5 linked regions of the Rattus norvegicus genome follow. The protein of the gene in region 4 purifies or fractionates together with the protein of the main gene of each other region. This does not show direct contact. Links are inferred from orthologs where the notes say so. Each region holds a gene or a part of one and is shown on either strand. Other genes may lie near its edges.

Evidence for each region.
Region 1: the proteins of Srsf3 (region 4) and Srrm1 purify together in Homo sapiens (affinity purification with mass spectrometry; 3 studies listed by BioGRID and IntAct, with this or other methods). This does not show direct contact. The link is inferred for Rattus norvegicus from reciprocal best matches to the Homo sapiens genes SRSF3 and SRRM1.
Region 2: the proteins of Srsf3 (region 4) and Larp1 purify together in Homo sapiens (co-immunoprecipitation; 3 studies listed by BioGRID and IntAct, with this or other methods). This does not show direct contact. The link is inferred for Rattus norvegicus from reciprocal best matches to the Homo sapiens genes SRSF3 and LARP1.
Region 3: the proteins of Srsf3 (region 4) and Mepce purify together in Homo sapiens (affinity purification with mass spectrometry; 3 studies listed by BioGRID and IntAct, with this or other methods). This does not show direct contact. The link is inferred for Rattus norvegicus from reciprocal best matches to the Homo sapiens genes SRSF3 and MEPCE.
Region 5: the proteins of Srsf3 (region 4) and Ncbp3 purify together in Homo sapiens (co-immunoprecipitation; 3 studies listed by BioGRID and IntAct, with this or other methods). This does not show direct contact. The link is inferred for Rattus norvegicus from reciprocal best matches to the Homo sapiens genes SRSF3 and NCBP3.

Annotation. Positions count from the first base shown.
Region 1 is NC_086023.1:152,864,775-152,870,264, forward strand, and holds part of Srrm1 (serine/arginine repetitive matrix protein 1), read right to left. Parts: intron 5,259-5,490; exon of another isoform or gene 3,491-5,258; coding exon 3,320-3,490; intron 2,885-3,319; coding exon 2,769-2,884; intron 1,497-2,768; coding exon 1,293-1,496; intron 5-1,292; coding exon 1-4. UniProt on the Homo sapiens protein: Part of pre- and post-splicing multiprotein mRNP complexes. As a component of the minor spliceosome, involved in the splicing of U12-type introns in pre-mRNAs. Involved in numerous pre-mRNA processing events.
Region 2 is NC_086028.1:42,722,124-42,727,613, reverse strand, and holds part of Larp1 (la-related protein 1), read right to left. Parts: intron 2,955-5,490; coding exon 2,893-2,954; intron 2,674-2,892; coding exon 2,608-2,673; intron 1,806-2,607; coding exon 1,631-1,805; intron 1,026-1,630; coding exon 897-1,025; intron 819-896; coding exon 612-818; intron 511-611; coding exon 348-510; intron 1-347. UniProt on the Homo sapiens protein: RNA-binding protein that regulates the translation of specific target mRNA species downstream of the mTORC1 complex, in function of growth signals and nutrient availability.
Region 3 is NC_086030.1:24,546,588-24,552,541, reverse strand, and holds the start of Mepce (7SK snRNA methylphosphate capping enzyme), read right to left. Parts: upstream 3,947-5,954; 5' UTR 3,356-3,946; coding exon 1,772-3,355; intron 689-1,771; coding exon 470-688; intron 36-469; coding exon 1-35. UniProt on the Homo sapiens protein: S-adenosyl-L-methionine-dependent methyltransferase that adds a methylphosphate cap at the 5'-end of 7SK snRNA (7SK RNA), leading to stabilize it.
Region 4 is NC_086038.1:7,099,104-7,104,593, reverse strand, and holds the end of Srsf3 (serine/arginine-rich splicing factor 3), read right to left. Parts: intron 5,083-5,490; coding exon of another isoform or gene 5,049-5,082; exon of another isoform or gene 3,798-5,048; intron 3,751-3,797; coding exon 3,712-3,750; intron 3,553-3,711; coding exon 3,466-3,552; intron 3,379-3,465; coding exon 3,351-3,378; 3' UTR 1,077-3,350; downstream 1-1,076. UniProt on the Homo sapiens protein: Splicing factor, which binds the consensus motif 5'-C[ACU][AU]C[ACU][AC]C-3' within pre-mRNA and promotes specific exons inclusion during alternative splicing.
Region 5 is NC_086028.1:58,161,435-58,167,668, reverse strand, and holds the start of Ncbp3 (nuclear cap-binding protein subunit 3), read right to left. Parts: upstream 3,429-6,234; 5' UTR 3,407-3,428; coding exon 3,224-3,406; intron 3,122-3,223; exon of another isoform or gene 2,839-3,121; intron 1,484-2,838; coding exon 1,418-1,483; intron 1-1,417. UniProt on the Homo sapiens protein: Associates with NCBP1/CBP80 to form an alternative cap-binding complex (CBC) which plays a key role in mRNA export. NCBP3 serves as adapter protein linking the capped RNAs (m7GpppG-capped RNA) to NCBP1/CBP80.

The sequences.
Region 1 (5,490 bases), on a different chromosome or scaffold from region 4:
GTCACTGTGAAAATAGCATTTTGTTTTGTTCCCCCGACTCTCCTCAGAATTCCATGCCAATTCAATCATTGGCTATCTTTAGAAAGTATTTATGGAGGTTGGGGATTTAGCTCAGTGGTAGAGCGCTTGCCTAGGAAGTGCAAGGCCCTGGGTTCGGTCCCCAGCTCCGAAAAAAAGAACCAAAAAAAAAAAAAAAAAAAAAAAAAAAAAAAAGAAAGAAAGAAAGTATTTATGGTGCAAGCTTGATCACCTGGGTTCAGTTCCTCGGAACCCCACAGTGACAATGAAATTAAAGCCACACTCTTAACCATGGGGCCTGTCCCTCACTACTAACAGATTAAAGGGTAAAAACAGATGCAGAGCACCATATTTTTTAAAAAAGTTTTCAAAACCTGCAAATACCTCTTGGTTTCAAAGGACAGGTACACATCCTGATTCACTGAGCAACTAAGAATTTATATCCCCTTTTCATGTGTGGGACAAGAACTGTGTCACTGTCAACTGCATGAGTCCAGAAAGCCTGATCCCTGGGAGCCTTTGGAGCCATGAAGGGAAAGAGGCTGACTTGACCAAACAGCCCATAGGCACAAGGTCCAGCTGAGACAGGATCTCCTCATCTCCTCGACCACCAGTCAAGCAATCAGTGGATAGCGCTTTGTAGTGGCCATGGATGGGTGCTGTGTGAGCAGTGTGCACGACTGCAGAGGCTGCGTGCAGTGCTGTGTGGCCTTGTAAGCTATGAGACTGGATGCAGCAGATGCATTGTGCTCAAGAGAAACGCAGCCATGGGGCACAAACGGTTCCCCTGAAGAGGGAGGGTAGCTTTTATTTAGGATATTTTGTACCCCAGTTAACAGAAGTGAATAAATCTCTTTGCATTTGGGGGTAAAGATGTTTAATAGGATATAGGTCAGTGACAAAAACTGCAAAACTCTGGGTTATATCCCCCTATTACAAAAAGAAAACAAAACAAAACAGGAATTTGTCCACAATATATTGTGGCAAGCAGGTAGGAAAATCAATAATTATGATCTATAAAATTTTTGAAACAATATGGAAGATAGGCAGTCACCTCTGGGGCATTTTCCTTATTTCACACACACACACACACACACACACACACACACACACACACACACACACACACAAATTCAGCTTCATTTCCAACACTAACTTTATAATATTAAAAAACTTAAGAAAAGGAAAACTGGTACTTTGCTTTGAAGTTAGCAGTGTCATCTGAGGGGGCACAAACAGCCTGACAAGACTATGTAACAGAGTTAAGAACGTGCCTTGTAGATGTGGCCTCTTGTACTGAAGAGTCTTTCATTCTCACTGATGGTTCTGGGAGCTCTGGAGATTTCTCCTTCTTTTCTGGGGCAGGGGAAGGGCTCCGGCTCTTGGTTCTGTGACGGGGAGATCGAGAGTGACTGCGCTTTCTCTCTCTCCTGACAGGGGAAGATCGTCTTCTAGGGGAAGGAGATCTGGATTTGCGTCTAGGATGAAAGCAATTTTTTCAGATTTTTTAATAATGTAGTTTAGAGTAGACAAAGGGAAAATCAAGGATTAATCTTTTAAGTTACCCAATGTTGTCTGTATCTGAGAAGTTTCACATGGAAACAAGATATCCATTTCATCTACTTGAGAAGGAAAAGGCCAGAGAGAACTAGAAGGACAAGCAAACAGAGGTAACAGCCTCAAGTACCAGTTAGAAGGGGAGGCACGGAGTTGGGCTGGAGGCACCGGTTCTCAACTATTCCCAACGATCACTCAAAGACCAATGCCTCAGACGAAAGTGCTAAAGCAACTCTTCCTTACCAGGAAGTCAGCCCTGTATACCAACGTACCACAGTATAGGTAGCTCCTATCAGAGATGCCCAGGCAGAGCCTCAAGATGCAGGAAAATGGATGGTGCAATACAAGTAGTACGTTCTCAAGAAAAGAGAAATGCCAAATGTTTATTGGCGGGAGCCCCTTCTTCCTTTCTAAGCTGTAGTGCGCCTAATCCAAAAATATTTACTAGTTTTTAAAAACTGTAGTAACGCTAAACGGCAGGGTGGCTTGCGCTCAGCCTTAGAGGCACTCCTTCTGTAAGTTTCCAAACTCAGCACAAACTAAATAACAAAAATATTGCTTCCTCTTTTCTTTACGAATCCCCAATTTATTTTTAAAAGACCTAAGAATGAAAAGCCTGATGGAATTCTCACCTTTTACCACAAATATAGCAGAAGCTGACCGTGGACTTAAAAATGTGAGCCTAACAATAGTCTCATGGGAAGAAAGAAGAAAACAAATAAATGATCTGAAGGTTGGGCTCAGTACAACCATCTAAGAAAAGCAGAACACGGAATTAGGTAAGTATATGAATGCTAACGAGCAGATTTAATAAAAGGGAAATGGAAATAGTCAGAATACAGTACCAACAAAAATCCCAGTGCTTTATTTAAGCAAAGCAATATGAAATCCTCATTTCTACTTAAGAATGAGTAACTCATCTAAATTACAGAGGTGATCACGGGTTTTTTTAAGAGTATCTTAGCATTGCCTGGACTGGCCTAGAAGCCAGCCCTACCCCCACTGCCTCAACCTCCTGGGTAGCTGTATAAAATATGCCAAAGTGCTGGCAAGAAAGGCTCTCTCTAGCCCAGAAGCACACAGCAGCTCTCCAGTAAAGCTCCCCAGGTCTTCAAGCTGGGAGCTTCTGCCAGAGCACCCCTCAGGACCCAAGGCACCTAGAAAACACTGTCCTTGTATCTGTTCTGTCCTACCTTCTTGGGCTGCGAGACCGCTCCCTCTTCTCTCTGCTGCTTTCTTTTTCTTCCTTATCCCTCTTATCTTTATCTTCATCTTGTTTTTTCAGAGACGCCAATTTTTCTTGTTCAATCTGTAAGCACACAGTGAGACGCTAAGAGCCAGCCATCAAAGCACCCCACACTGGCGTGGCAACCACCGCGGCTGGTGCAGGGGGCTCCATGCTCTCAACTTTACTCTTCCAACACTCTTTCCGTTATCCTTTATCATTACTATAAATTTATAGCATTTATTTAAAGTCTGTGACTTTATAATTACTGCCTATGTGAGAACTTGCACATATTTTTTCCATACTTCATTTAAATTCTCTTTTAAGGTAAACTAAACACTAAACAAAACCAAAGATCCCTGCCAATCATCACTGACCTCTGGGAAAAAGCTGCTCTAATTTTCGTGAGAGTGGTAAACCACAACCAGTGTACAGTCACACCACAAGTTAAAAGCTCTCAAAGGAAACAGCTATCCTTAAAGCAAACCATCAGCCTCAAGTCAGTTCAAAAAGGATTACTTGTCTCTGCTTTATCTCTTCCTTCTTCAACTCTAGGAAAGCAGAAGGGATTCCGGCGATATTTTCTTGTGCACTTAACAGCAGAGGCCACAGTTCTCCCATGAACTCTCTAGCATTCTTCCCATTCAAAAATCCAGTCAGGTTGATTTGCATCATTTTGGAATCTGGGTTCTGCGAAAAGACATGACAGGAAGAAAACCAGGTTACTTCAAAACCAACGAACCAACCTGAAACTCACGTAAATTAGTATTTAAGTCTACCATAAGGGGCTTAGGTACATATATACAAATATATATGCTCCCTACTTGCTTCTTGGTGATATAATTTCTAGATAATCAAAATTTCCCTCACTGAACCAAAAGCATTAGAGCAGCCTTTGTGGGTTTCCTTAAGTATTTAGACTGTGTGGCTGTTAGTGGGCCTCATGTAGTTATCAACTTTAAAGACAATCATGGAACAAACACTATACATTCTAGCACTTACTAACAATACTTGCTTGGCTGGAAAACTTGCCCCAACAAGAAGTTGAAAACGTACATAGACACTTCTCTTTACACTACGGTAACTTTCTGTAAACTGTCTATTATCTAGTGTTCAGTTACAAGAACTAACAGGTTATGCATGCAGTCTGTAACATCTGAAGACTAAGCTAGAAGCCTGACTACTGCACATGGAAACCTATTACTAGCAATGCCACAGATGCTCAACTGTCCACAAAACTAGGAGTCAAGATTTCTAAAAGTAATGTGGGTTTTTAAACACTAGGTCTGTTGGTCAAGCAACAAGGTCCGTATAACAAGCACAGCTCAATAGCACAAAGCAAGTACAGATTCCAGGTGTCTTCAGTTTCTTCTTGGAACCTTGGGGGTTTGGAATCGCCAAGTCCCCTGTAGAGAAAGATGTTCCCTTGGCTTGCTTCCGACTCCCTACTGCAACTCAACCACCTTGAGTTTAATGTTATATCATTTATCTAAATTGCAAAAGACGAACAAGCAATAATGAGTACACAACCACAAAAAAAGAAAAGATTGTTTAAAAAGTTCTAAACTTTAATCTCATGCTCACTACAAGGGGAATACTACCAGATATTTAGGTTTTAAAGTGTACTAAAATTCAAATCAATAAAGCATTTCTCCAATAAAGTTTACTATTAAGCATTTATAAAACAGTCTCCCATGTTTCTGGTTTCTAAATGAAATAAATATACTTAAGTATAAAGTCCTTTCTTAAAATTAAGTCTTAAGAAATATTCAAAGCAAAATAATTACCACATTGTTTTAAAAATGAAATACCTTATCGTTTGGAATGGTAACTGTTCTGTCAGAATTCAAGCATGAACTCTTGGGAAGAGGAGTAATGTAAAAGTAAATTCCCATCAGTGATTTACCAAAAGGTTTTATGGTACATCTTTACTGTCCTTGGGATGCCATGACAAAACAGCAAACTATGTTATAACAGAAATGGTTTAAACATCAGCTGTAATATCTTGTATTATTTAATATTGGAAGATAGGAACAATCATGTTAACTGGCTTTTCTAGGACTGTCAAGTTATCTGCCTGAAATTTTACTATAATGTAAATAAAATCCTGTGCCTTAATTCTAACTGGTAACCAGCTGACTTGCAACTACAACTTAAGTCTTTAGTTCTTTTAAAAGCAACATCCAATCAAATCAGAATCGCCCCTCATGCTTCAAATACATGTCCACCTCAAAATGCTACTTTAAAGAGCAGTATACAGCTTTACCAATTGCTCTTGTTTGTGTTTTTGTTGTTGTTGTTGATGTTTGGCCACTTTACACAACTCACCTCCAAACACACACTGCGTCATCAAGGGAGTTGGGTCAGAGCGACATTGGGACACTCACTCTGCTGTGACCTAATAAGGTGATGGTGCTATACTTCAGACGCAAGGAATAACTTCCATTTTGGTTCAGGCCTTTTAAATCATAAATCACATTATCATTAGAAAATTGCTGTCAAAGTAACTTAACATGTAACAGCAAAATTACAAACAGTAAGTTTGATTTTTCACCTGTGTAGCTTTCAAAACTATGCACCTTCACTAAACCTCCAGCCTTAACAGTTGTTTTACAAAGTGAATTCTTTTCACAACAAACATTGTAAAATATCCCTTCTAGATTTGTATTCCACAGAAAGCCTGAGTTTCC
Region 2 (5,490 bases), on a different chromosome or scaffold from region 4:
AGTCCAGCATGCAAAAGTTATAGGATAGGATAAGAACACAACCTATATACTTGGAAGACTCTGGCCACAGTGATGGTTAAAGGAGATGCTTGACAGCATCTACCGTGCTGCTGACAAGCTGCTTCATAATCATGGGAACACAGAAGGGACAGGCTGCTTGCCTGTTGGTGGCAATCTCTACTTTTTTTTAATGTAAATGTGGTTTTAGTCTGTAATGCACAGAATTCTGTGAGAAAAGTAGAGAAAGCCATCTTTCACGGCTTCAGTGGGGCTACTATAATGGTCATGTATTAGACCCTGCTCTGGGCCCCATTCCAGCATGGCCCCAGAAAAGCTTGCACACTCACATCTGGCGCTTGATATAATCCTTGAGCAGCTCCTGGTCCACACTGTAAATCTCAGTGCTGCTGACATTGTCAAAGTAGTAAGTGATGTTGTTCATATACTTGGGGGTGCGGGACCCCTCTGTACCATCAAACTTTCGGTAGCCAAACTGGTAGTCAAAGTGGGCTACAGGAGACATGGGCATCATTAGAAAGAGAGAAGGATCTCGCCTACTACCCATGCCGCACTCCCTGGGATATCCCGGAGCCCAAAGGGGCCTCACGTACTTCGAGTGCCACCCCGTCCACGGCCCCGTCCACGACCACGCCCCCGTCCACGGCCACGGAAGGAAGCCCGAGCCCCACCAGCCCCATCACTCTTCACACTCGATGTCTCATCCTGGTCGTGCCATGCAGGCTCTGGTTTGGTCTCTGGTTGCCAGGCTGGGGTAGGTGGGGCCACAGATACAGGCATGTAGGTGGCAGGTTCAGATCCTATAGTAGTAAAAGTAACACAAGGTAAATCCTGAGAGTATCCTCCTCATTAGACTCTCCATAGCAGACAGTACATACCTTTGATCTCTCCTCGGATAGCAGGTGTATGTCTTGGTTCCTGTGGGCGAGTGGGACGTGAGGCCAATTTCTCTCTGGGTACTTCAGGCTTCATGTCTATTTGCAACGGAACCCACTTGTGTTTGTTCCCTGAGGGACGGCATAAGCATGTCAGAGAGGCATGGCAGGCCCCTCAGACATGGCTTTTTCCTTCCCCCTAAATTCTAGTTCAACTACCCATCTGGTAGCCATAGGCATGTCCTTTTCAAACACCAGACCTCTTTTTTGTTGTTATAAATCTCTAAAATAAGGAGATCAGAGGTTCCAGATGTAAGAATCACTTTCTGGAAACCTGAATAAAAACTAACTTTCTAGGCTCCCTTCACACATGTGACACATCACTGCCTGTGACAACCTTGTGGGGCCATTCTAGGTGGAGTGAGCAGGAACAAGGGAGCCACCTTGGATGGAGAGGCTGCTGTGCTTAATGAGTTAAGAGTTGCCACCTCAAGCCTGGCCTGCAGACACAGAATAGGTCTCGGAGAGAAAGCAGTCAAGCCTGTATCATTTCAACAGGTTTAAGAAACTCTTAGAGCAATATAAAAGCCCGTATAAGAGAAGATGCACTAAGGCTGAGCAAAAGCTGCTCCAAGCAGTCAGTCACCCCCTGGCCTGAAGTTCCTCCAGCAGGTCAGGCTTATGTCATTTCAAAGTTCTGAAAGGTACACCTCCCGGGTCCTGGCCAAGCCACTTACCTTTCTTCTTCTGCCCGCCTCGCTGGCAGTCCTCATCCCCATTCTTTTCCTCCCCCGATTCATCCGACTTTGTTTTTGGGCTCTCCTTACTATCACTTCCATCTCCTTTCTCCTGCTCCTTCATGTCCTTCTTGGGTGGCAGCTTACGGGCAGGCTGAGGCTTGTGGGACTGTGGCTACAAGAGGCAAGGAAACATGTGGTCACTGGGGAAGTATAAGGACAGGCTACACTAGATACATCCTAAGGTCTAGCTTTCATACTCAGACAACACCACTACAAAACACGACCATACCAGCTATGGAAGAACAACTGATTGTTCTAGCTACCCAAATCTGTGGGATAGAAAAGATGCTGGCCTGTCTGTACCAAAACCTCTACCATAAGGGACCCACTGGGGCAGTCACTAGCTCAGAACAAAAGTGATGAGTGGAACTGAACTGACCAAGAAAGAGTCTCTTCTGCTAGAATCTAGGGGAGCTAAGTATACCTCCCCAAACTGGAGTCAGTGCCTCAACTGATACCTCTTTTTTCAATTACTCATAGAAAAATGTGGCTCAGTAATGGAAAAATATGGGCTTTGGAAAACTGTAACACAGTTGTTTCCTAAACCCGCTGAGCCACCACTGGAAGGCAAAAAAGAACAGTGCCTGGCACCCCTGAAACCAGGCAAAGGCTCACATGATGGTAATTCCTAATTATTTCATTCCTGTCCATCTTAAATAACTACTCTTCATTTGTTGAGAATTGAAGGGGGTTGGGAGTCCTATGTCTCAAAGGATGGCCTTGAACTCTTGGACTGAGTATAGTCATCCTTCTTTATCCTTTTGAGTAGCTGGGATTTCAGAAGTATACATACTATTGTGCTCACCGACCACTCCTTTTCAAAAATCAAGAAAGGTGGTGTTTATGGCTCTTGGTCAAAAACCAACTAAGTCAGTATGAAGAGTACTTGAACCTGCCAACCCCTCCTCACTCACCTGCACACTTTTGTGGGCTATTTCTCCAGGTGTAGGCCAGTTGATTGCATCTCCAAAGTCACCAACCTGCAAGGTATCGTCTATGAAGGCCTTGGGGTTACTCTGCCTGCCATTTTGCTCCACACCCAAGCTCTAGCTCTTTTTAGAGATAGGGACACAACAGTGTGTGCACTCAGACACCATGCAATGGCACCCATAAAGGCTTCCATGCTCTTAGAGAAGGGCCCGAAGTGCTTATGAGAACAAGAATAATGAGCGCCCACAGGGACACTCCCCGGTCTTTACCTTGCTGCCCTTACGCTGTTTGGGAGCAGCTGCCCTCACCACCTTGGCCGGAGCAGAAGGTTCTGTGGGAACAAAGAGAAAGAATCAGCTGTCAGAGCCTATGTCATTACCATGCCCATCCCACCATGCACCTACAGGTTCCCAAAGGAGCCACAGCAGAAAGGGCAACAATATAAACTGGCAGCCTAGCCACCAAGCTGCTCAACACTGAAGTGGGAAAACCCTTAGAGTCTAAGTCTGTATTTTTTATGAGTTATCAACTGAGTCTCAAGGTCCATAACCAAGTCTACACTGTAACTCAGAGCTCCAAATCTATAGGCAAAACCTGTAAGGAGATTGAGTCTTCTGTATACTTCTGCAAGCCCAAAGAAAATAAAGCTAAACATGTGAATGGACACGTCCAGGGCCATACCAAGGCCTGCTGTGTCCTCGCTGACATGTAGTTGAAGTAAGAACTACCTTTTCTGTTCCTAAAGAAAAGGCATACTCCGATTTGACTCTAAAGTTCAATTTTGTGAGACAACATTTCCCAGTGTAGCCCTGACTGGCTTGGAACTTGTCAGCAGATCAGACTGCTGAACTCATAGAGATCTCCCCCCGACACATCCTTTGCCTCCCAAGCATGCCACCATACCTGGCCAGTTTCATCTTTTAGATTGAACCCCAATAATACAAGTGAGACAAGAGCTATACACAATTTCAACTCCAACAGTACTAAAATCACCGAATTTCAATTCATCCACTTTCACAATAGCCATTAGAATATACTGGTCTTTGGTTATGTGGAGATAGACACATAGAAGATGATGACTTCATCTGTTTTCTATAGAACAGAGGAGCGTGTATGTAATCATGCATCTGTGGGGCATATATTTAACTTTTCTACAAAGACGAAGATGGCTTTTAAGGAACAGAGTACGCAAGTCTAGAAGAAGTGGCTCTGGTTAGTTTGGTCCTGAAAACCAAGGGTGTCTTGTCCCTCCTGCCTCTAGAGATCCACGGGAAGAAACACAACCTGAGATTCTGCTCACTCACTTTAGCTTGTACTTCCCTCCTCTGCCATGTCAGGTCAGGAACTACCCTAGCCTCCAAGCACAGAAACCTGGCTGGCTGGCCTCACAAGGTTTTTCAACAGACTATGTCCTTTAATGAGAAGAAAGTGTCCTTGCCCAGTTCCTAAGGGTGAAGCCAATTCATTCCTGGCTTCTGGCCGGTTACTGGAGCCACTGTCCCCTAATGGTGGACATAAGTCTTCTGATAGCTGGAGTTGTTGAGCCCACAGCAACCTCCAGGGCTGAGAAGCAGAAAACTAGAAAATCTCAGGTGCAAGAAAACCACTGTCCTTTGACCCCAGGTTGACCCAGATAAGCCATTGAACATTTAGTAGTTCCTTGACTGGTCTAAAGCTCCTCACACGAGCCGAGCAAGTGTGGTAGTAGATGCCTTTAATGCCAGCACTCAGGTGGCAGAGACAAAGGATCTCTGGAAATCTGAGGACAGCCTAATCTACAAAGTAAGTTCCAGGACACCCAGGGATATACCGACCATCTAACAACTAAACAGATCTTCATCCAATTCAGCCCAGGGCCTGGACAGTGGCCGCCCACCTGAGCTACAACTGGAGTCATTTCTTCATGTGCTCAACAGCATTGGTACATGCTAGCAGGAAAGCAAGCCCCAAAGCTAGTGACAAAGTTTACAACAAGAATTGTATGCACGCTGGGGATTTGGCTCAGTGGTAGAGCACTTGCCTAGCAACCGCAAGGCCCTGGGTTCGGTCCCCAGCTCTGGAAAAAAAAAGAAAGAAAGAAAGAAAGAATTCTATGCACAAGGACTGGAAGTAAGGTATACCGAAAATCATCTCTGAAAAGAGGGCAAAAGTTTCCAGACACTGGTCTTTTCAAGTCTCTTGGTCTGAGTAAAATATACCTTGCCTCGCCAGGAAATGGAGAATCAACTCTCACAAGCTGTCCTCGGATTTCCACAAGCATGCCCTGGTGCTCCCCCCAAAAAACAAACAAAATAAACAAACATAATAAAGCCTTTTAAAGCTATTTTCTCAAGCATTTTAAAAGAAGGGTCTTGCTCTGTAGCCCAAAAGCAGTCTCAAATTTCCAGCAATTCCCCTGCCACAGCCTACGAAGTGCTGGAATTCCAGATGTATATCCTTCCTAGTGGCCATCTTATTTCTTATAAAATCTCTCAAAACTGAACAGTACTAACTGAGATCACCCTGAGATCTCAGCAGAACATGGTCATGGACTGTAAGTTCTGTCTCCAGTACAGAGAGAAAGCTTAGAGGAGCCTCCTGCTTATTCCTATCTGAGCATCCACCTAAAGAGAGAGGAAAGTGATCTTATATCTGTCCTAAGTAGAGCTTGTTAGAAAGTTCCATCCCAGAGGGCTCTCTAACAAGAAGAACTATGCCATCCCCTTTTTTTCCCTGATCCTTGCTAGAGCCTCAGACTGCCTCCAAGCCAGCAGGACCCTGATGTCCACTCTGCACCAAGCCAAGTCAGCTCTCTAAACCTGCCTTCTAAAACCTGCAGCTGCCACCACTTACTACCCAAGCCAAGCTCAGGACACACCACTGTCACT
Region 3 (5,954 bases), on a different chromosome or scaffold from region 4:
AGCTGGATTCGAAAGTAGTTCTTATAGATTGTTTCCTAAGGGAAAAAGGGAATGGGTTACTTCTTACCACCCTTTCTCCCTCGGCCAATTATGACACTCTTTTCCTTGCTCAGGAAGTCTGAGCTGGAGGATGTAGTGGAGGCAAGACCAGCCTGCACCACAGAGCCAGTTCAGGCCAGCAGCTTAGCCAGCCCCAAATAAAAAGGGGCCGGTTATTGTCAGTCCAAGTCTTTAATTCCAGTCCATAGGAGGCAGAGGCAGATGGGTCTCTAAGTTTAAGAGAGCCTGGTCCAGAGTAAGCTTCAGGACAGCCAAGGCTACACACAAAAACAGTCTTGAATAATAAGGACTGGGGCTGTAGCTCACTGGTAGAGGGTAGGTTATCCCTGCCACGTGTGAGGTAAGGGGCTCAGTCCTCCGTAAAAATAAAAAGGTGATTATTCCCTCTCTCCACAGAAACCCAACTCACTGTGAGAGACTTTCTCCTGCAGTAGGACGACCACGGTTGGGGCTCCAGGACCAGAATGCCCCCAGGTCGCAGATGCCGGTAGATCCGGCGGAACATTCTCTTCAGCCCCTCATCACCCCAGTTCAGGTGCACCCACTTGGTGAGGCTGAAGCAGAGCACCACATCATACTCAGGTCTTTGGGCATCCACCAGCTCATCTCTGTCCAGGACATAGTTACCCTGTGGGCCAGAAGAGGGGAAGATGTCAAAAAGAGGGATGAGAAGCACTGCTGGCCCCACAACCACCTGAGGACTGAGAACCTCACTTCAGCCCTGTGGCTTCCTGAGGCTCTTCCCAACAGCACCCTCTTTTAGCCCCATGTTCTCTTCTCCCTTTTAAGCTCCTGGTGCTAAACCAAACAAACTTAAAGGGGAGCCTGGTTAGGTTTAAATTGAGCTAATTTATCTAATGGTTAACTGGAGAAATTACAGTGTTCCCAAAACCCTTACCCAGGAGACCTCACATACAAAGGCCATGCACTGTTTTAAAGACAGAGACTCTTAAGCTGTGTTTCAGGTCTGTTCTTTCTCTAAGGAAATAACCTTAAGAAATCTCTTTTTAAAGAAGGTAAACTCATCACCATTCCTGGGGAGACATTTCCCAGGCCAAGCCACTGGCAAAAGTTCCCCTGGATGGCCTAACAACTGTGTAATGGAGGGAACTAGCATGATGTCAGGCTGGGCACTCGCTCCATGTAGAGCCCTGCCTTCACTGCCCCTTCTCATTGTTCAGTCAGCATGGGAAGACAAGCCCATGAGTTCCTGACCAGTAATTTCAGCAGTCTGTGCTGCATCTGGGGAAAAAAGGCAAATAAAGTCCCTATCAAAGTCCCAAACTACACATATTGGAGTGTTTCCCCTCCCCCAGACACCCAACTTCAGGCTCCCTCAGGAGATTTGAGGACAAGGTTCCATCTGGACTCAACAGGAGAGGTTACCCTCAAGGGAAGCGGATTGTTTGGATTTTAGTCCCAGTTGGAAGCAGAACAAGTCAGCCCCCTATGTTAGGGATGAGATCCTTGTTTGTAGTCATGAGAAAAGACCAGATGTTAGAGCCTGAAGGTAGAGATCCCACTTTCCACGTTATAGGAGCAGAGATAACACACCCAGCAGAGATTCTCTGGCCAATCCAGACTGTTCTCTCCGGGAGATGGTTCTTGTATGAAGGAACAGATGCATGGATATGGCCATCCCCCCCAACACATCCCTACTTAATCTCATCTTCACATTGGGACCCTATTCCAAGAGCCTCTGGACTCTTACCGTGACGAAGACGACATTGTTGGGGAAGACAGATGTGTCCGCTCCATCCAAGGGCAAATGGGGTGCAGCGATGGGACCCCGGCTGGCTGTCAGTGAGGCTGGGAAGCAGCTCCTTTTTCGGACAGTGGTAGTCCCTTCCTCCCCCTCTGTCCCTGGGTCCCCCTCAGAAGTCTGAGCTTGGAGACGAAGCTCCTCGGACAGGTAGTGTCGGATATTTTGGCGGGCAGAGTGGATAAGTCGTGGATCAATGTCCAGCCCCACCATGCGGGCTGGGCCCCACTTGCAGGCAATACTTAGGGTCAGATGGCCAACGTTGCAGCCCAGATCTAGGACGTCCCGGCCTTGAAACCACTCAGGCTTCAATACCCTAAGGCGCATGTCCTCACAGGAAGGATTGCGATAGCCATAGTACTTGCAGTAATTCCCATACTGGAACTTGAGCTGTTGCTTTTTGAAGCCAGTTGCAGGTAGTGGGTGGTGGTGACGGCCTCCCCCACTCCCTCTGCCCTTTTCCTTGGAACCCTGGCTTCCACCCCTAGCCCCTGCCTCTGACTTGCTGGAAGTCCTGCGACGTTTGCGATGTCGGGAGGAGGAGGAAGAGGGTGCAGAGGTAACTGAGGCAGCTGGAGGGGCAGAAAGGGAGCCTGAGGAACCCTGCAGGGCAGACGGAAGGGGAGACACAACTTCATCCCTGCAGTTGATGGCTGTGTTGAGTTCATAGGGTTGAGGGTCATCTCGGTTCTGGCCTCTGTGCTGCTGCGTAGCACCCTCCCCATGGACTGAGGGTGTGAGAGGGTCAGTGGGCAGCACAGCTTGGCTATCATTCCCTCCAGATGCCTGCTGCTGCTGGTGGTGCGGTCCCCGGTGTCTATGGCGCTTGCGACCAATCTTGAGTGGTGAAGCAAGCACTACATGGGCTTCATCAGTGCACGTGTTGAGACTGAGTGGGTCAGTGATATCTTTTGGGATGAGGATCTCCACAGGGTCTCTCCCCTTGGCCGGAAGTGGGGATGACTTTGGGGTCTCCGCATTGAGTGCGCGACTCACTTCCTCATCCAGGAGGCTATTCAGGTTCAGTGGATCAAATATATTACCCCCCAGAAGGAAATTGGATGGTAACACGGAGTCGCAGTCCGAATTCACTCGCCGGCGCCTCTTGAAGGCCGGATGTTTGAAGCTTCCACCGCTCCCTCCCCCCACGTTACAGCTATTTCTTCTTTTGCCCCCACCACCCACTGGGGGTCGGTGGGGCTGGTAGCCATTGCGAGGTCGAGGAGGGGCTGGGGGACCCAGGTCCGTCCCGCCCCCTCCCCGGCGCTCCTCCCCCACGTCCGCAGGAGCGGCAGCTCGCCCGTGGGGCTCCCCATGCGTCTGTGCCTGGGGGCCGCCCCCTCCGCTGGCTGTGGCCCCGGCCGAGTGCGCGCGTGGGCCCGGCCCGCGTTCTGTCCCGTCGAGGAGCTCCCCGGAGGCAGCCTCTTGGTGCGATCGCACCTCGGGGCCGCCCCCTCCACCCGACTCATCTTTGAGCGGCGGCGGTGGGGCTGGCACCAGAAAGGGCTCCTTCTCCGCCGCCATCTCGATCATCTCCTCTCCCTGTTTAATTTCCCCTTCCCAAGCGAGGGTACTGAGAAGAGATCAAGGGGAAGCCCCCCTGTAACCCTTCCTAAGACCACCTCACTCCCTCCTTCCCCGAGTGCGCGCGCAGCTCTGCCTCGCGCCCAAGCGCCTCCACCTCCCTCCCGCAACACACCAAGCGCGCTCCACTCGCCCGCGAGACCAAAACAAGATGCCCGCGAGACCCGGACAAGCCGAGGAACCAACTGCGCGTGCGCTGACACCCTTTTCTCCGCCGCCTCTACCACTCTGCCGCGAGCGCGCACGACGGGCGCGCGTTCCGCTCGCCCAGGACCCACGCATGCGCGCTCCGCCACCACCCAGGCTGCGCGCGCATCGGGAGTGCGAACCAACTTAACGGCTCTGAGAGTTTAAATACAGCCCCCCCTCCCTAATAGCCTCACCCTCCCCCAGCCCGAGACGCCCACCGCCCCACACGGACACCCGACTTCCCTTCGCTGCTAAGTCCAAGCCCTACTGATATCCTTTGTCTCTGCTGTGAGATCCCACCCACCGTAGGCGGGGAACGGGAGCTGGTGTGAAAAGGTCTCCTTGACACCCGACCCTTGTTCCTGAGGAATGAGGCTCCGCGGTCTCCGCCCGGCTCTAAACCCAACAACCTCCCTGCCCCGCCTCCTTCCTCCCCCATCCCCGCCCCTCCTAGAGAGCGCCTGCGCACCGTCCTTTTGGGCTTGCGCGGGTTGAAGGGGCAACACGTGCTGGAGATGATGCTCCGCCCCCTCCGTCCTAGGGGCGGGGAGTATGACGTCGTTTCCTTAGGTTAGATGCACGCAGCGTGCGTCAGCACGTTTCCAAGGGTTGTGCATTCCCAGGAAAGGGGCAAGCTCATGAATTATTCATGAGCAATCTAGTCCTTCCCCTCCTTCTTCCCGCCCATCTCATTAGAATTAGAAGGATTTAGGAGAACCTGAGGGGGGAATGATAAAGTAGGCGAAGGAGTCGAGCACACTGTCTCAAGAACTGTTGTCAATTAAATGCAATACATTGTTTAAAATATTCTTCGAATTGAAAACAAGCAAGCACTAAAACATCGAGGCTGTACAAATTCCTCTTCCCCTGAAACGGCCTGGTCGTTCAGGCGACCTCCCTTCCACCAGCGAGGAACATCTAGAGAACCACGCCTTCCTCTCCTCCCTTCACCTACGTCAGGCCTCGGACGCCTCCGCTACAGTGCGGCGCCTGCGCATCAGTCCCCAGCGCGAAGGGTGGCGTTGTTGTTATCGTCAATGCCACCTTTCGCGTTGTGGATTTTACAGCATTATCGCTGCAGCTTTGCTCCACTAGACACACAAGCGAATGTGGGCGGGAACGGGTATCGACCTGTTTTGGGCCTTCTGCTTCGGCCAATGGGAAGCACTGATTCCATGCCGAGTCCCTAGACTGATGGCTGGCGGAGTTTCCCTGTCAGCAGACTATCAGAAAAGAAGCAAGAGGGGGGCCCAAGATGGTCTCAAAATATAAGAGCGTGACGGAAACTAAAAGATAGGGGTCATAACATGGAAACAGGAAGGAGAAGGAGATTTTAGGCAGAGACAAGAACGAAGTGCCTCAGGTGCTCCGCTGCAGCTTATGGGGGGGGGGGGGAATAAAGGCGCCGGCGTGGATTATGGGACTTGTAGTTTCACTAGGCTTTCACTCGGAAGATGGCGAGCTACTCCAGCTGCTCAGACGCAAAAGCGGCTTCCCTCGGCGCATGCGCACTACGTCTGTGAGCGCACGCCGCTTGGGGGCGGGATTTGTCCGTGTCTTCGCGCCTTCTCCTGGTGGCGGGAAAAGTAGCTCGAGGTGGAAGGGATGTGCGGAATGGCTGCGATAGCGTTAGCTGCGCTTCATCTTTAGGTCCTCGTCTCCCCAGAAGGTAGTTGTCTTTTATGCGGCTGCAGAGGAAGGTGTTAGCTGTGGTGAATCTGGGTACCTGTTGGCTGAGGAGAAATTTTCTCTTCAGAGTCACAGCGAACCCTAGCCTCTTCTCTTCAGAATCGCTAATCTTCAAAACACTCGTAACAAAAAAATAACCCAGTATTGTGGCGGGAAATGGAGAGTTGAGGGACAGTAGACTGAGCGGGAGCGGAGGGGAGGCTTCCACGGCGGGATTCTTGGTCAGGTGAGAGAATAGCAAACCGCTACTTGACGCTTTGAGGGGAGGCGAGGGTTGTTTGCCTGGGTGAGATCTTTGGTGTTAATGGCCGTACCAGAGAGAATTGATAAAGAAAGAGGAAAACTAGAAGAGCACTCAAAGTCCCCCCCACGGGGGAGGGGGTTCGGTTTTCATGGCGCCGCACCGTGATGGCTGTAAGCAGAAGTCTGGGAACATCCCCAAGGGCCAGCCTGAGGTGCGGGACAAGGTTGTGGAGGGACATGAGTGGAAGCCATCCAGAGGCTGAGGTCAAAAATAGAAATGACAACTATTGGAAAGAAACTGTTTTGCTCACAAGTGACCACAGGTCTTTAGGGTTTCTTCCACTCCCCCACCCCTGCTCTGAGCCAATACAGGTTACCATGAATTTTATTTGTAACGTTCTGTGGAAAGTTTAGTTTGGGTAGTTAC
Region 4 (5,490 bases):
GTGGGGAGGTATAATAAATCTTAACAGTAGAAACCACTCACTTCCATTGCTTCCTAAGTACTTGGTGCTAACATACTCATGTCAGAGCCATCCTGTGGAAAAGCATGACATAGGGGGCTCACTAGGAAAACATTTAGTTTCCTTTCCAGGATCACCACCACCACCAGCAGCAATGGGAACTACTGAATGCTGAAAGCTCTTCTGGTCTGCGCTAGAATCCTTGGGAGCCAGACTCTAGGAAAACAGCAGGGCAGCCTGTGAGCCAGGTCCAGGAGGATGGGATGGGCATTATGGCTCAATGGCAGTTACAGCATGCCCCTTTGTCTCCAACCTTTTCAAGAACCAACAAGTAGGGGTTGGGGATTTAGCTCAGTGGTAGAACACTAACCCTAACCCTAGCAAGGGCAAGGCCCTAGGTTCAGTCCCCAGCTCTGGGGAAAAAAAAAAAACAACCAAGTAACCTGGTCCTGGTAGCTCATTTGAAAGCAGCACACAAGCCCTAACCAAAGATGCTGCCATTGAAGAGGGGGGCAGGAGTGGCAGGGGCAGCATGCTAACACCACTGGCTTACAGGCCAGTCCTTCATCATGTAAAGAACTTAAGTTGTGAGTTGGAGGGGCTGGAGAGATGGCTCAGAGGTTAAAAGCACTGCCTGCTCTTCCAGAGGTCCTGAGTTCAAATCCCAGCAACCACATGGTGGCTCACAACCATCTGTAATGGGATCTGATGCCTTCTTCTGGTGTCTGAGGACAGTGACACTGTGCTCACATAAAATTAAACTTTTAAGATTAACTTAACACAGGTAGTTCTTGTTCTTTCTACTCAGTCCTTTTATTCCTTTCATAAGTTGTGCTAATTCCTTTGTCAGTCCTGGTACAGGTGAAGGTGTCAGATCCTCTAGAGATGAACTTAAACCTTAACAAGCAGCAGTTGTACAGAGAACAGGCAGTACTCGCAACTCTACTCTGCCCTCTCTCCTCCTCCCTCACCAGTGCTATTGAGCCCTGTGGCAAGCATAGCTCATTTATAAAGTGCTGTACATGGATGGAGACACAATACACATAATATACTCCAACCCAGCTTAAAGTCAGTGTCTTTAATAAAAATCTTTTTTGTCCCTCCCCCAAAAGAAAACCAGAAGGCAACAGTCTGGCAGTACAAAAAATATACACTGGAAGAGATGACTTGTCTGGTATCAAAGTCCCATCTGGACTAAGAAAGGCAAAGCCCATTTAAGACAAGGCACTAACGCAGTGACTGGGGAGACTATGGCCGTTTCTCACCTATACATGCAGCACCTTAGACTTCTATAAGCAACACCATTCATTTCTAATTAAGCAGCAACATGCCAGAGTGAGGCTGAGAGTCAAAAACAATTACTAAGATCTCCTGTTCAGCTTCATGCCTCGGTCAGTGCCTATGGTCCAATACAGGGTGGAGATGCCACCATGACACTTAAGGAACCTGGATGGTAAAGGGCGGGCACCTACACCGTGCTGTAAAGTATGTACCTCTGAGGTGACCCACAATGAAAAGAGAATCCCAATCTCAGGTGCCTTTCTCAGTCACTAATAATGACCTCCAGGAAACACCTGCAGTCACCCTAACTTAGTATGACACTCAGAAAACGATCAAGAGTAGCTAATGTGGGGCCCTGGGTTGGTCCCCAGCTCCGGAAAAAAAAAAAAAAAAGAGTAGCTAATGTGACCTACAATTACAAGGAACAGGCTTGACTCCAACCCTACCCTGAAGGATAAAGCGCACTCCTAACAATTAACAGGGAATCTAAAGTATCTTCTTTGAATATGGCTACCTCTTTCAAAGGCTCATGTTGGAACCTTCTGAACACAATTCTCTCCTTTCTTACTGAAATTTATTGTAAAAAGATAACAAATTTTGGGGGATTTATAAGCTTACAGATTGAACCTTGTGCAATGGCATCTTACAAAGACAAAGTCAGTACAGTGGAATCCCAAAAACTATCTCAAAAGAACACATTTAAGGAAACTTAAGCCACGAGACTGTTGCATTATGATTTAATCTAATTGCACACAAAAAACCCCCTGGAACCACAGCTCCTCCAGATTTCTAAGAGAAAAGGTTTACATGCCTCCATATTCAACTGTGCATCATCACAATTAACCAGTGTGGATTTTACATCATGATGGATCAATCTGGAATCCCATGCAACACCTCAAGTTATAAAATGGAACGAATTATAAAATTTTGTTGAATGTCAATGACTTCATGCTGAAGATCAAAGCCACTTTTTAAGGGCAACTTAAAGGATTTACAGTGTGTCATAGATTGGTGCTTTATAAAATGTTAGTCACTAACTGCCATGATCCTGAACTGACTTCCACACCCAAAACATGGCTCTCATAGGTGACAAGCAAAGGGGGGAAAATTCCTTCGCTAACGCAGTGCCTCTCAGTTGTTTCTTACAAAGAACGAACTGGGTAACCAACTGCTTTCCAGGGATAAGAGCAATGGGGGTTCACTCAGCTGACTGCTTACTACACAATTATGCTAGTATTTTATTAATTCAAAAGCACTTTACAAGAAAATATAAGTATGGTTTCCAATAGGAATGTTATACCTGGACTTGATACCAAGCTCACAGATTTTGAGTGTGCAAGGAAAAACAGGCTTTCAAGTTAAACAACAATTTGTAACCAAAACTTTAATCCCAAGGATTCTCACAAACATATTACAAATGACAGCATGAAAAAAAATCTTGCACAGTAACTGAGTTCAGCTCTACAATGTACCCTTAAACTGATAGGACACTGGTATCTTAGTTTTACATTTCCAAATAAAGATGTTAGACAGCTCTGCATCCCCATACAGCAACCAGGAAGGAACCACTGTGAAAACCTTCAGAGTGTGGTTCCTACCCTTTATCTGTTGGTTGTGTTCACAGCAGCCTTTAAAGGCTGCTCACCATTTCACCCACAGTGCCACACTGTGTCTCAGCCACTAGGGGAACTACAGCTTTAGTCCATTTCCGCTAGGTGCTTGACGTCATCAGTACATCACTTCAAACTGGGCAGGATCTAGGTTTATTTCAGTCTATGAAAAACTAAAATTCAAAGAAAATTCAATCTCGCTTAAGGGAACATTGTAAAGTAACAATTCTTAATATCACATGCCTCATATGATCCATTTGAAACCATAGAGAATTACATCGTTTTGTGTGTCACTGTTCCAAGAGACAAAACAAATTTGAACAGCTAAAACATCTTAAAAATGCACCAAGCTTATGAAGTCTCAAACAAAACTTTAATTTCCTGTACATACTCCTGTCAAATGAAGTTATTTCCTGTACACCACTTTTGCCAACTGGTCTTCTATTTCCTTTCATTTGACCTAGATCGGCTAAAAAAACAAAAGAAAAAAATTAAACATTATCTTAGTACACAGATTACATATACATATCTTCAATACTTCAATCATTGATCTTACCTACGAGACCTAGAGAAGGATCGAGACGGCTTGTGATTTCTCTCACGAGACAGAGACCTTTCTCTTCTCCTATCTCTAGAAAGAGACCTAAAGCAAACAGAAGATACATTAGTTTATCAGAAATTCACCTCGAAGAAAGTCTAGCTCAGTCTAACTTAGTGCTGACTGTATGGTACCCTTGTCACTGTAATTACTAGCCAGAGAGTTAAGCTTCCATTTCTAAGAACAGGGCACCAAAACATTTACCTGCTCCGGCTTCGCGAAAAGCTTCTCCTTCTTGGGGATCTAAAAGCAGAAATAGTAAAATTAGACTAATTGTCAATTATTGTATGTGGCGTTGAGGCATTTCCCAACTTTTCAATTTCACTGTTGGGCCCAGTGAATGTGCCGGAGAACTGGCACTCATCGTCCAAAAATAAAAAAAGAAAAGAAAAAAAAAAAAAAAAAGGGCACAGAAGGATTAAGGAACAAAAAGCTCAAGTGAAAAGCAGGTATTCCAACCATGGATTCATTTTAACAAAGAATGCTTCACAGCAGATCTGTCCAATGCAAAACTTCATGTCAAACTAACTCCACTACCCCACAACACCACACCAAAATGTAGTCCCACAAGTAGTTCCAAAAACTGTACCATAAACCAGTATTTGGAACCCATGCAAAACCTTTAAGTCTCTAACAAGACTTAAGTACCAGGTGAATAGTGTAATTTTGTGAAAACGCGGTGGGTGTGGTAAACATCGATGCCATTTAGTGCTACATTAGAACTGCATTTGTGATGTCACATTTAAGAGTGTGTTTAGGCTTATCAAAATTACCGTAGCTTGGCCCACACTTCACCCCCATTTTTTTTTAAACTTTGAAAACTGTTAGTAAAACCATTTAAAGGTGATAGGATTCAACAAAATTTTGCTAGGAAGAAAAGCTGAAATCTGTTAGAGATATTAAATTTTAGTTTGGCATCTCACACATGCACATAAGCTCACTTGAAGGTCTAGTCACATTATGAGTTCCCTATCACCCTTAAAAGTTGTTTCAAGCAATATATTGTACGTTACCATTCAATTATGCACAGCCAGCCTTTGATCCAGAAAAAGAATTACTTTAAGCCGCTTACTCCTTATTTTTAACCAGCAGTAAACTGTATAAGCAGGAAAAACTTACTAGTTTTGGGTTTCAACAAGCTAGAAATGGTGAGGTGAGGCTGCCGGACTGACGGCCAGGAAGAATTTGCTGAAAAGGTTTTGCCAGATGTTGCGTTGGATTTAGTTGGTTGGCGAAGGGGGTGTTGTGGATTTTTCCTGCTTTTTTGTTAGCCGAAGGCTGCTGCTGTAGTTGTTGTGAAGACATTTGGTAAATAAACAGCTGAGCTGATTGGCCAGGAATGTGTGGGCGGTCGAGGTGGCTGCTGCCGATTTGGTTAAGGTTGGAGAGAAGGCTGAGAGAAAACAGCATGCTCGGGAACCAAAGGGCGGTGCAACCTGACGACTGGCCAGCCTGGGTCATGTGAAACGACACCAGCCAAGCTGAATGGGGCGCGCTGGTCACATGACGCTGAAAGGGCTAGTTGACTGGCTAATGCAGATTCAGAGGGTGGTGAGAAGAGACATGATGGTGACTCTGTAACGGGGTTCATTTTTATTAATAGATGGACCAAAAAGCACAAAAAAAATGAAAAACAAGCCATCAGTACAACCATCTCTTAGCTAACAAATACTCTTCATTATGATGGGCAACAGTGTGTTGTTTTTCAAAATAGCAAAAGGGGCAAGATTTTGAACTCCTATCTCCTAGGACTTCACTCACCTGTAAGAGGTAAATTCAGTCCTACAGAAACTATTTTAGAGGCTTGATTTGAGGAGATGAGGAGTTTGTATCCAGGCAATACTGCCTGGTCCAAGAATGATGCCATTTCAATCATAAAAAAACTGAATTCTCTCCTATTTGGGTTTCAAGAACGGATGACTGGGATTACTTTTAAGCCCCCTTTATTGGTCAGTGATTTAAGTTTGTTTCAGAAAGATTTCT
Region 5 (6,234 bases), on a different chromosome or scaffold from region 4:
CACCAGGCAGGCACATGGTGCACATAACACACAGAGGCAAACACTGATATATACACAGAATAAAAAGTACAATTGAAATGGAAAATTCTGTTTTAAACTGAACAGCACACATTTAAATCATGAAGAAAGAAAAAGTCTGAATGAACTGAATTAAAGCAACGTATGGACAATTTATCACATGGGAACTAAGAGGCTTCACTCTGAGGTATGATAATGGAGGTGGTACAATGGTAACGCAATCACTTAGCAAAAGACAATATTGTCAGATGCTGGGGATAATCAGTCGGCATGGCCCTCAAAGCTTAGACATGCAGACAACTTCTAACCATTTTTCTAAGTTGGAAAGCAGTGTTTCCACAGATATACATTAATGGCTTTAAGCATCCCCGAGGCCAGGGGCATAGCATGACTGTGGTTGTGCTTGCCAGGTAAGCCTAACAACCTGAATGAGATTCCCAGTACCATGTAAAAGTCCGACCCTGCAGCATTTGTCTGTAATTTCTACATTCTTAGAGACAGGAGACAGAGATGAGAGAACACCTCAAAAACAAGGTAGGAGGGGGAATGGAGAGATAGTTCAGCAGTTACAATCACTGTCTGTTCTTACAGAGATCCAGGTTTGGTTCCCAATACCCACAGGGCAGCTCCCAACTATCTGAAACTCCAGTCCAAACGGATCTGAAGTCCTCTCCTGAGCTCCTCACATCCTAGTTCTGAATGTGGTACACTTAATACATACAGGCAAATGCTCATACACAAATTTAAAAATATTATCAATAATACTACTACCAGCAAAAAAAAAAAAAAGTCAGATGTAGTGGCATATGCTTTTGATCCTAGCACCTGAAATGCACAGGCAGGTGTACCTCTGTGGGTTTGAGACCAGCCTGGTCTACATAGTGAGTTCCAGGACAGCCAAGGCTATGCAGAGAGATCTTGCCTCAAATAAAACAAAAACAAAAAACAAACAAACAAAAAAGATGATAGGTAAGAACCAACACCTGATGTTGTTCTCTGACTTCACATGTGTTACAGCATGCACACTTTGACACAAAACACACACATCCATCCTACATAACAAGTGAATGTTAAATAATAAATATTAAAATAAGCATTCCCAGTGCAAACTCTTTCTTGGAAATGGTTAGCACAGACAACTAAGTTCAGTGATTATCTTTTCATGGATATGTGCACACACAAATGCTGCCTGAACGGTCTCAGGATATATAAGGACATCGTTGGGCAGACAGATGTAGATATTTGACATTATGAGATATGTGTATCATAGATAGATGAGATACATATCAGCAACAAAAGAAAAAAATGAGGCAAAAATATTTACCATTGTGTAAAAGGTAAAGACCACATTCACTAATTCTATCTGCTTATCAACCTGAATAATCACCGTCTGTCTCACCTTGGAGGTGACATCGATCCCAGTGATGAAGCTGCCGGCCTTGTTTTCATATCTTCTGCTTGTGTCCTACCAGAAGAGGAAAAATGAGAAACTCCGACAGAACAATCCACCATAAAAGGCAGCCTGACAGCTGGCCCTTTTTGAAGCCATTCTTTTTAGCAACCCTTCTCCATTCTAACAACCCTTGTTAGGAGGAAGTCTATCTCTGAGGCTCCACAGTAGAAAGCAACCATTCTAATAAGAAGTCTTCTCCAGACCCCAGGCAGGAGCCTGTGCATAACATTAAGTAATTCTGTCAACTCAGGGCATCTAGATAAATGAAAGCCTAAAGTCTTTTGTGAAAAATGTCAAAAATGAGACAGTCACTTAACTCCCCAAACCAGACAGGACAAATTTTCTATGAAAGGCCACTAGGTGGAGCAAATGCCTCCACAAAAATGTTTCAAGTCCTAGATCTCTGGGAAAAATACAGCCTAATACAATGAAAAAAAGGAGGGGAAGTGACTAGAATGAGGACTGAAGTCTCGGGTCTGCAGCCAATACCCTGGCCCCTGCATTCAATCTCTAGGCCCTGCTTTCCTCTACAACATCTTTCTGACTTCTGCTCTCCTCTTGTGCTGAAGACAACCCAACATTTCTTCAACAAAACAATCTTGTTTTCATGTCCGAGACTTTTGTGCTTGCAGTCCTCCCTGCTAGGAATTGCTCCCTTTCCAACCAACATGGTTGGCCCCTTTTTGTCATTTAGGGTTAAAGCTGAATCTATTTCGGGGGACTTCCCTGTGCATCCCAACACATACCAACTGCTTCACATCCCTCCTGGCCACTGTACTTTATCCTATTAACAGGATGTGTTTTCTCTGTAGCACTTAACACAAAAGGAAATTATTTACTTGTGTCCCCTACTAGGGCAAACACCAAGAGGGAGTTTTGCTCTTCGGCACCTGGAATTACACCAGCACATAGAGAGATGTGTGATATATACATGTTAAACTGATTAAAGTCACGACCACAGTATAATCTATAGATGTTACCAAAGATATTTGTCACCACTACCTTACCCTTCACTATAACTTCAAACGTAAAACCAAGACCTGCTATCGCATAATTAAACGGGGGGGGGGGTTAATGTGTGAAAATCAAGCTACCCAGGCCTCACACCAGCCTTAGGAGCGGGCATGTGGATACCAAACCACAAACAAAACACTCCTCATATCCACTGTGGTTAAAGAAAGATCAAATGTCACCGTGCGTCAGAAGCTGGGACCACCAAGTAGACGCAGTGAAGGCACGCGGGGACATGAGGACACTCATTCACAATACCAACACACAAGTGTCTGCTGTTTGACAAGTCTAGCCCTCCCAACCGAAGAGCGAATGTCATGTTTAAGTGACACCAACTCCGCCGGGGTAGGACCCACCAGGAGACCTGGACGCCCGCGGCACCTAACACTTCCTTTCAGGACTGATCCGGTTCTGTTCCCGCCCGCGACTCCCTTTTATCTTCAGCCGAACTCAGTTCATTCGTTCCGGGCCACGGGCCCGCACCGAGGGGCAGTCAGAGGGGTGTCCCCAACTCTCTCCGAGAACCCCCGCCTCCTCCAGCGTTCTCTGCACCCATTTCCGGGCGCCCCGGCGTCCTTTCTCTCCGGAGCTCTCCGGGTCATGCGCGGCCCCCGCCTTTCGGCGCTCGCGCCCCTCGCCGCATTCCGGGACTTGCGCCAGCGCCGCTGTCCACCGCCTCCCCGCCTCGCAAGGGACACTCGCTCGGCGACCTCCTCCTCAGCCCCCGCCCCTCGCCCGTACCGGGAGCAGTTCCTTTAGGGAGCGCCGCACCGGCACGATTTCCAGCTCGCCTTCTTCAACCTCCATGGGTTCCGGCTCGCCACGCTCCAAACCGGATTCCACCTCGGGCGACGGAAGCCCCAAAGCCGGCCCAGCGGGGGCCTCCGCTTTCACAGACACTCGCAGGCCGCGAACGGCCGCCATAGCTGCCAGCCGGCCGCACCACAGAAAGCCCGCCCCTCACTCCGGCCGCCTAGAGCGCCGTCGCTGATGACCACAGAGAAGCACCTCTGTCACCTAGAGCGTCGTCCGTTTCTACCAGAGAGCCGTCCTTATCTCTGGCGCCCCCTTGGTGGCCTCAGAACCTGGGGCCAGCTTGGGGCGGGATTTTGCGGGGTAGGGGGCGGGACGAAACAGGAATGGAGGTGGAGCTTCGTCTGAGGTTCCAAAATACCTACACTTTAAGGACTATACTTCTAAGAACCGCTGAGCAGTTACTGCGTGCCGAATACTTCCATGGCTTGAACCCTTACAGTTCTAGGAATAAGATTTTATTATTACTTTCTTTTATTATTATTTTCATTTTACATAGGAGAGAACTGAGGCACGGTTTTCTCAAGGTAGGTTATTTACCTGGATCTAAGCCTAGGCAATTGTACTTCAGAGCCCAGAATGAACTATAATATATCATCTCGGCAATCTGAGCGTTTACAAAGTTATTTCCATAGTAAACTTTGTCTCTGTCAAGTCTTCCAGTAATTGAACCATTTTATGTAGTCAAAAAATTTAAACTAGGGCCCAGTGTAGGGTTACATGCCTGTCATTCCAGTAGTCAGGAGTCAGAGGCAGGCTCATCTCCGAGTGCCAGGCCATCCAGGGATCCAAGGTGAGACCTGACTAAATTTAAACTGGTAATGGTGGTACATGATTGTATTCCCCACACTTGGGAGATAGAAGCAGGAGGATTAGGTGCTCAAGGTTATCCTCCAATTGCACCAAGGGGCACTTGCTAGCTTGAGGCCAGCCTAAGCTACAGAAGACCCTATCTTAAATGGAAAGGGGGTGCTCAAAGATTGCAGTGACCTACCCAAAGGGCACAACCAGAGCGTAGACTCCATTTTCTCACTTCTGGGAGCTCTATCCATCACAAGACTCACAAGCATGATTTCTTGCAAATGTTTCTAGTAAGAATCTGGCTGGGAAAAAGGAAAGTCTGAACAATCAGACTTTCAGAAGGCACTTCTTGTCTGTCATGAGTCCTGATTTTGTGTCTCCTCCTATGTCATATTTAACTAGCTCGGGGTCCTTTCTAGACCTATCTCCCGATCTGAACCAGGAATATATATCTGAGACCATATATCTGAACTCCTAAAAATCCTTTCAGAGAAAGACAAATCATTCTAAAGCAGAAGAATACAAGAATCAAATACACTAGGTTACCTTGGGCATGGCACGGAATGTCAGTTCCTTCAGCAGAACAAAGAGGTGACACACACCTCCAAGAAGAATGTAAGGAACAAACGTGCTAATTATGTGTGCTTATGAGACCCAACACAAGTGGTGCAGCACATTCAAGCTTTTCTTAAAATGGGCCTGCACCCTGGGACAAACAAGATGGAATTCCTCAGAACGGCAACATCCATTGAGTGCAGTACAAATGTAAGAACAAAACTGGGTTAAAAGAATAGAATGCATTTTCTTTCCTCCCTTTCCCCTTCCTTTCCTTTTGTTCTCCTTTTGCTGTATTGACAATGGAACCCAGAGACTTGAGCATGCTAACAAAACCCTTTACCAGTGAGCTTTACCCAAGCCCTCTTGTTTGGAGACAGAATCTTGCTGTGTAGCACTGGCTGGCCTGCTCCTCGCTTTGTAGCAGAGAATGACCTTAAACTCCTAATCCTCCTACCTCTACCTCCTGAGTGATGGGATTATAGGCATGTGCCACCATGCCTGGCTTCCTAGTGTATATTTTATAGAAAGGTTTGTGTTTGGGATAGCCAGCTGTGGGTGACAGTCATGAACCCCACCATTACGCTATCTTTCTGGGCCTACAGAGTGGGAGGTAGGAGAAACAGAAGCGGTTAATTACTCAGCCACACAGGCCTCTCTCCCTCCTAAAGAGACTTGCAGCTTGAGGATTCAATTCAGAGGGATTTGAAATTGCAGTGCAGAGAAGCCTTGGGACAGCCACAGCGGGGTGGGGGTGGGGACAGGGACACATCAGGCAGTCAACACTAAGCTCCCAGGCTGCTACTCCAGACACTTCTCTGCCTCTCCGCCCACAGTGCAGCCCAATGAGGTGAAACCACAGAAATTTAGGAGGTGGTAAAGAGTAATTTTCAGGGGTTGGGGATTTAGCTCAGTGGTAGAGCACTTGCCTAGGAAGCGCAAGGCCCTGGGTTCAGTCCCCAGCTCCGAAAAAAAAGAACCAAAAAAAAAAAAAAAAGTAATTTTCAAAAAGTTACAGTTAGTGGGGCTGGAGGGATGGTTCACCTCATAAAATTCCTGCGGTGCTAGAACCCGATTCTAAATCCCAGCACTTATGTAAAAGCCTGACAAAGTGACAGGCATCTAAACCCTGACTGCTGGAGGGGCAGCAACAGGCAGATCCCTAAACCCACTGGCCAGCCATCCCAGCTGAATCCGGTAGTCCAGGTTCACGGAGAAGACCCCACCTCAAAAACTAAAGTGAAGATAGATCACTGGTTCTAAGTACATAATGCTCTTTCAGAGGGCCTGAGTGTCTGAAATATTAATAAAGAGGAGGGGGCTGGAGAGATGCTCAGTGGTTAGGAGCACATGTGCTCTTGAAAAGGACCCAAGTTCAGTTCCCAGCATCCACATCAGGCAGTCCCTACAGTCTACACTCCAGGAGATCTTACACCCTCTCCCAGCCACTGAGTGAACTGTACTTACATAATCAAGGAAGATACTCGTCAGCCTCCGCATACCCACATGGACGAGTACACACCCCATACTTACATATAAGCACACGCACATACAGTCAGAGCTGAGCATACTTGCTTACACCT